2 linked regions of the Coturnix japonica genome follow. The protein of the gene in region 1 purifies or fractionates together with the protein of each later gene. This does not show direct contact. Links are inferred from orthologs where the notes say so. Each region holds a gene or a part of one and is shown in the gene's direction. Other genes may lie near its edges.

What was found.
Region 2: the proteins of EDC4 (region 1) and DCP1B purify together in Homo sapiens (affinity purification with mass spectrometry; 3 studies listed by BioGRID and IntAct, with this or other methods). This does not show direct contact. The link is inferred for Coturnix japonica from reciprocal best matches to the Homo sapiens genes EDC4 and DCP1B.

The regions. Positions count from the first base shown.
Region 1 is NC_029526.1:1,597,428-1,601,082, reverse strand, and holds part of EDC4 (enhancer of mRNA-decapping protein 4), read left to right. Parts: intron 1-775; coding exon 776-812; intron 813-1,584; coding exon 1,585-1,765; intron 1,766-2,143; coding exon 2,144-2,299; intron 2,300-2,667; coding exon 2,668-2,783; intron 2,784-3,447; coding exon 3,448-3,613; intron 3,614-3,655. UniProt on the Homo sapiens protein: In the process of mRNA degradation, seems to play a role in mRNA decapping. Component of a complex containing DCP2 and DCP1A which functions in decapping of ARE-containing mRNAs. Promotes complex formation between DCP1A and DCP2.
Region 2 is NC_029516.1:51,549,105-51,552,759, forward strand, and holds part of DCP1B (mRNA-decapping enzyme 1B), read left to right. Parts: intron 1-1,770; coding exon 1,771-1,906; intron 1,907-3,655. UniProt on the Homo sapiens protein: May play a role in the degradation of mRNAs, both in normal mRNA turnover and in nonsense-mediated mRNA decay. May remove the 7-methyl guanine cap structure from mRNA molecules, yielding a 5'-phosphorylated mRNA fragment and 7m-GDP.

The DNA.
Region 1 (3,655 bases):
GACTGGAAGGAGCTGCCCATTAGAAATTAGAGCAACCCGTCTGTATTAACGAGGGGGAAAGTAGCACAGCTTCTGCAAGGGGCTTTTCTCCTCTTGTGCTCTCTTGGCTCCCTGATTTGAAGCCTTAGCTGTGCAGGTTGCAAAAGAAAAGATAGCTCGTGACATTAAGTTTCTGGCTGTGGTCCTTCACTGTGACACCCAGAAATGCTTTTCATTTCTCTTGCCTCGGTCTTTGTAAAGGTGCTGAATGGATGCAAATGTGTACTTCCCTTCTAGTAGTTGGTTTTTTTTCTTCCTGAAGGTTTCTTCACCTTCCGAACTGGAATAGTTAGAAATGTTTTGAAATTCATTAATTCTCTGTTTCACAAATGAGTACTGGGTTTTTTTCTTTCTGAAATATTGGGAGACCTTCAAAAGCTCTTTGGCAGAGCCTTCCCTGCCTTTGAACTCAGACAAGACTGATTTGTTCTTTTTTAACAGCCCCCATTCAGACTTGGCTCAGATCTGCTGGGTGTTGAAAGCAGCCCTGTGAAGGGACCAGTCTGTAAGGGGCTTAAGGGCCTGTGAATACTGCAAATGATGGAGGCACAGAGCAGTGGGGACGGGACTTCCTTGCCTTCCTGTTGCACTCACATTATAATAGGCAAAACAGAAGTTAGAGCTGGGTGTGAAATCTAAAATAACCTGTGAAGTGAGTGATCTGTTTGGGCACTTCTGATAATCAGAGCAGTTAACTGACAGAATTAAGTCCCCATTTCTCTGTCTTTATCTCTAGGGATGTGAACCAGTCACCAAGATCATCTAACAACCAGGTGAGTCAGAGCTGCTTCTGCCATCCCTTCCAAGGGCCTGATACCTCAGCTGATTGCTGTCATACTAAAGACCTGAGAGAAGAATCATCCCTATTAAGTACCATGGGCCCTCTGCTCTCAGGCGTGGCATTGCTCCGTTCTGTGGCTTGCGCAGCAGAGAGGAAGCTGCTTCCTTCCTTCTCACTTTTGCATGTTGATTTTCCTTTCTGTGTTCTCACAAGCTCTGTATCATTTCAAACTCCACACCTCATTTCCTCTTCCCTGTTAAGATGGCTTGCATACATTGGCAGCAGGGTAAGCTGTTCCCAGCAAACTAATGATCACAGTGGGACTGGCCTGGTGGGGTATGTTTCTTCTGTTGATAGCACTTCTTTATCTGGTAGAAAATGTGCTCAGCAGAGTTAAGTGCACTTCTTAAACTGCCCTTAGATCCACATCCTTCCTTTATATAAGGACCTCTCTGTACTTGGCCAAAAGTGAATTGGTTCTGCTTATTCCTATTTTCTTTTTTAACACCAGAGCTTAGAAGAGAGTTTTGAATCTACACGATTCAGCGTATTCTAAGCAACCATTTATGAGATCCATGCAGATCCTTCATGTACTTGGCTTTATCAGTTAATTTATCGTTACAAAAGTCTTAGAAATTGGCGTTAAGCTGGCCCAATTTTCTGCTTTGTATGTTGTGCTTCTGTCTCTGGCATGGGGCTTTAACACCTAGCAGAAAGTTTGGCAGGTCCTGTCAGGAACGAGTGCTCATCCTCTCCACACACAGGTGACACCGGAGTTCCAGGAAGAGCTGATGTGTGTGTTGAGGAGCCAACAGCGTGAGCTCTCTGAGCTGCGTCAGAACCAGATGGAGCTGCTGCAGAGGCTCACAGATCACCTTGATGCCATTCAGAGCTCGCTGATGGGCCACATGGAGCGGGTGATCGACTCCCAGCAGGAGCAGGAGCGTATCCTTGTTGGAAATTGGAGTGGAAGGCTGCGAGGCATGAGGAAGGCTAAGAAAGCTCAGTAGTCTTAACAGCATGGGCTATAGGTGCTGTAAAAGAAGGCCTGGCTGCAGTGTAACAGTGTAACTTCACAGTCCGTTCCTGAGGGCAAGAAGCTTTGAAGTAGAATAGAGCATTGCTACTTTGTCCATACCCCTAAATCTTCAGCCAACCTATGAAGGCCATAAGCACTGCAGTGCTTTGGGAAGTGACTGTGTAGTTCCATTCCTTATTTTTTGCCACTACTTTCTTAATACACTGGAGGATCTTGCCCCTTAGTTCTTTGATGGGTTACTTTATTGTCAGCTGTTTGTGCTCCTTAACGTGCATGCTTGCTAGAGAGGAGACTGGATCGAGCACTGACAGAAGGACAGCAGCGCAACGGGCAGCTCCAGGAGCATCTCTCTCAGCAGCTCTCTCAGACCCTTTCCAATGCTGTGTGCAACCGTCTGGAGAGGACTGTTCGTGAGGAAATGAAGAAAACAGTACCCCAGTGTGAGTGCTGCTGCCTGGGTTTTGAAGGTGGATTCTGGGGGAGGTGGGAGGCATGCTCTGTGAAAGCGCTGGCACTGCTCAAAGTAGGAGTTAGGTTGCAGGAAGACTTGTCCTGGCGTGATCAGGTCAGTTGTTACTTCATCTGGATGAGTCCTTAAAACCTTCAAGGCTTAAATTCCACAGCCTCTCTGTTGAGGTCTGGTGTCGTGTCCAGCCTTAGTTTCCTAAGCCAGAGTTTGTGACCTTTTTCCCTACCTGTGTCATTTGGCACCCGTGGGGAGAGACTGACTCTATTTTCTTTGTCAGGTTTTGATGTGTGGTACCAGGCTTTTAAAGCTGCAGCTTTGATGTGTTTGTATTGTGCCTAGGCATTTCCAAGAGTTTGGACCCAGTTGCTGGCCAGCTAAGTAACACCATTGCCACCAAGCTCACTGCTGTTGAGGGGACGCTGAAAGAGAACATAACCAAGCTGGTGAAATCAAAGGTAAGGAGAACCAGACTGTAGCAATGCCTGAGGACACTGAGTTGTCACCTGCATGGGTAGTGACTCCTCATAGTTCTTCCTCTTACCTGAATCTCCAGGTGGGTCTGAGCTCAGGAGAGCTGACAGCAATCAAAGCTTTCTTCTGGTTTCATCAGAAAAAGCAAGCTCATTGTGTGCTCCCCTGCCTGCTTTGCCTTGTTAGTCCTTTCTGCCATTTACCAAGTTGTTCGTGCTCTATACTGGAGGATCTCACTAGAGAGCAGCTTTTAAGGTCACTTTACTCAGCCAAGTGTTGAATGCTTTTAGGAGCAGAAACTTGTCGCTTGCATTAGTAGGCAGTGATGGGTTGTGGGAGGGAAGCTGGGGAGGAGGAGGAAAGAAGCCATGCCTGGCTGCACCGCCTTCCCTTGCTCTCAAGCTGAACTGCATGGAAATTGTCATTTTTCTTGGGCAGCCCCTCAGTAATCATGTGCTCTGCCTGCTGTAGTCATGGTGCTGCTTAGAGGAAGGAGTTCAGCTGCTCAGGGAATGTGTGCTCCTGACAGACAGGACTCTCCTTACCTGGTGTGGGTGTGTGGTTGGGACGTAGAGTGTTTGTTCACATCTCTGTCCTGCAGCAGGCTGTTGTTAATTATCTGGAGTATCTTCTGTGTGTTCTTGTAAGAACCTTACAGATAGCGTTGTGAGGGCAACGGCCGATACCCTGCAGGGCCCAATCCAGTCAGCCTACAGGGAAGCCTTCCAGAGCATCGTGTTGCCGGCCTTTGAGAAGAGCTGCCAGTCCATGTTTCAGCAAATCAATGACACCTTCAAGCAGGGCACACAGGAATGTGAGTCATTCTGAGTTTTCTCTCTACAGCACTTTTGTGTTA
Region 2 (3,655 bases), on another chromosome or scaffold:
TTTCTCACCATCATGTAAAGAATCCACTTTGCATTAGGAGAATAAAGAAAGGCTTTAATTAGCTTTGAATTCATAACTTCTATGTACATATTAAGAATATTTTACATATGTTATGCAACCTTAATTCTGCAATGAAATGGGAGATGAAGATTTCCTACAACACTGTATTAATCTTACAACATAATGGATGGCTTTTTAACTGACACTGTAGTGGCTGTTTTTTTCACTGTCACTGCTTTTTCCATTTGTTCAGGATTGACAGGTCTCATTCATCTGTTTTTCCCTCTGCTTGATCTAATGACTGCCTTGTTTGCAATGATTTGTTTCTTAAGACTACATTCTACAGGTTTTCTTGCATACTTGGAAGAGGAAGGAGCTGAAATCTTACAGATTTTATCAACGTACATAATCTGCATTTTTTGTTTTTTTATAGAGGTATAATGTGAAGTTTATGTAGGAAAAGGACGCTGTAGGAATGGACACTTTAGATGTAGTAATTGTGGTATAGAGGGCTGGACTTACCATTATGTCACAGTTCATGTAAGGGATAGGAAGAGGAATGATTTGAAGCTCAGTCCTTGTCATCCCAGGAAAGCCATGGGAGGCTGATACAGTCAAGCCATCATCATTAGGTACTAACAGGGGGCAATGTGAAAGCATAGTCAGAACTGAGAATCTCTCCTTTTCATGTCATCCGTACCAGTCTTAACAGCCTGCTTAGCAAACGTGTTTCCGTAGCCAGAAACATGCCGAAGAAGTGATATCAATTCTGACTGCCAAATATCAAGTGCCTTTTTTCGTGTCCTACAGTACAAGTCCAAATAAGGCTCATCCTTGTACATCTCATTACGTAGCAAAGTGCTTTGACTCTTCTGCCACTGTGTTCCAGATTGGACTTGTTTAGAATACTGGATAGGGATTTAGTCATGTTTCCCCTACATCTTTTTTTAAAGAATTCACTGCTGCTTTTCATTTTGCAGTGACAAAACATTGTTAAACACCGACTGTAACAGTGGTGGGGTTTTGTCTGGGTTTTTTTGTTGCTTTTGCTCTGTGTTCTGCAGCTCTGAACTGACTCGGTTATGACCCAAGGAATAATTGATGGGGATGAATTTCCAGAAATAAGCAGTGAACCCTAGGAAACCCATTTTTTTGACAGCTAATTTTAGTTAACTAGCTCAAGTTTCAGTTGGTGGTGATTAGGTACTCTCAAACTGGTAATTTACCACAATAAAAACTAGTTTGCAGAGAATTCATGGTATTGTAAACCATGTGTAGTCATTTATAATAGCGGTGTTGTACATGGATTAGAAAAAGAGAAATACCCTATCATTCAGCCAATTGGCTGTGTGTTTTAATTCTCAGCATTCTACAATAATAATAAAGCAGCTGGGGCAGGAAATTGGTCATTTGCTGGTAGTTAATGACTGATTTGTGTGTGTTTGCCATCCTCTGCCACCAGCAGAACTGAATAACATTATACATTCCCCGCTCCTTCTGGGTATGGAAATTGTGACTGAGTTATGGAAATTTTAGGGTATGACCCACTCTATTTTAGACTGGAGAAAATGTTTCTTGCACCTGGTCAAATTATGCTTTATTATAAATATTTGAATACAGATTTTTAACTGTATTGTTATGTAGTTTGGGAGGTGAGGGAATCAAAACAAATTTTTTAAAATTCTTGTAAAGTAGTTGTAGTCAAACTTTTTATATTTTACCTGTTTTTGTCTTTGTCTTGTGTATTCTCCTCTCACCTCCTACTTTCAGCCTAACTCAGCAAGAGCAATTCAAAGCACAGCAGGGCACGGGAACAGGAGTGTCCCCTATGATCACGAATTCCACTAATAACAAAGAAGTGGATATCTTACGGATGCTTACCAAGGCCAAAGACGAATACACCAAGGTGAGATTTGCTATCTCAGCTCTTGTGTTTGGTGATACTGTGTTGCTAATCATCTCAGACTTTACATTTTAAAACTTTTTTTGTTTTTTTGTAAAGTAATTTTACTCAATGTTAAGCTGATTTTTGGGCAGAATGCTCTGTCATTTTTTGAAAGTATATACATTTTGTCAGAAATTTCTAAAGATTGGAAAGAACTGAATTCTGTCAGCAACTCCTCAAAGACAACGTGAATGAGATTTGATTATTTGTTGAATGCTGGGGTATAAGGGCAAGTGTAAATTGGCTTTCGTTTTGACCTTTAGAGAGCCTGTGCTTTCAGTACATGAAATTTGTGTCCCCTTTTAGGTTGAAGTATTCAAAACTGCTAGTAGTTTCTGTGGCTTGCACAAATGGTTTACCTTAGGGAAAACCTTTAACTTTGAACTTAGTGCCTTTAGTTGTAGTTATTGTCTATCTTAGACACTATTGGAAGCAAATGAAAAGGTTGAAATGTAGTGTGATACTGCATTGGTCTCTGAGGCTTCTAAACCACAGAGTAACAAATGGACTAATAATGTTCTCTATTATTGGATAATCAAAAATGTTTTACTTCAGGGAATAAAGATCTAATAATTTTAACTATTCATATATGTGCTGCAAATTGTTTCAGAGCCTGCAGGTTCCTACAGCTGTTTCCTGTATTTCATAAGTGTTGCCATGCAGCAATAAAGGTCATTACATAAGTGCTTTGAGTCTAGAAGTACGTATGTTTTAAACATAAGCATAGGGGGAAAAGAAAAGTTCACTTTGAGAAATGTGACTTCTTATCCTCAAATAGCAACTGTTTGAGTTATAGTAACATATATGCCTTTTCTTTTTTTCTGTTAATATAGTTTATTTTGAAGCTGGGATCTGTTTTGTCTGTAATAAGGATTTAATATATTAATAGTCAAGAAACGCTTCCAGTTCCTCGTATCTTTTTTTATTATTTTTAAACTGAACTGGTGTCTAGTCTTGGAATAGAAGGAATTTGATTACTTCAGTGTTTCATAATATAATTTCATTAGATGCCTTAAGAATGGAAAACTAGAAAAATACTGGGTGGACATTGGATACTATGAGAAGGATGTAGTACGTGTTTTAAAAACTACCTTCCACTTCTACACAGCACATCAAGATCAAGGAAAGGAAATTGTAGATCTGTGTTTAGTAGTTTCTTGATTTATTTATTTTTTTCTGCAGCTAAGTTCTTTGCCAGATTTGCATCATACCTCATCTTTAATCTTTCTGCTTATAGGGAAATAACATGAGAACCTTTCCTTCTGGGACATGAGCATTATTATCTGACTGCTATTGAGCTGTGTTTGTGCTCTTTCTTGCTTGATTGGTAATACAAAATTAGAAAGGGCATGAAAAATAAAGTCAGTGACAGCTATTGTTGTATTTTATGCCAATATGTTCCATAGCAGTTGTGCTTTTTGGCTCTTTATGACATTTACTTCTTTGTCAATATATGTCTTAGAGTTTACAGTACTAACATGCTGAAATGGGTTATGAATTACGTTGTTCTTCTTTCTGAATTCCATATGGTTTCAGAAAATAAGGTGCCTTTTAAATTCTTGTGAGCCTTAAGATAAGAATATCATTTTTTCCAAGCATTTAAGGAATTCCACCTAATTTATAAGTCCTAGGTTATTATTTCTAAAATCTGGTGAGAAGTGTTTCTAGGAGGCTTCATCATGATAACTAAGAAGATAAGCACTTGAAGAG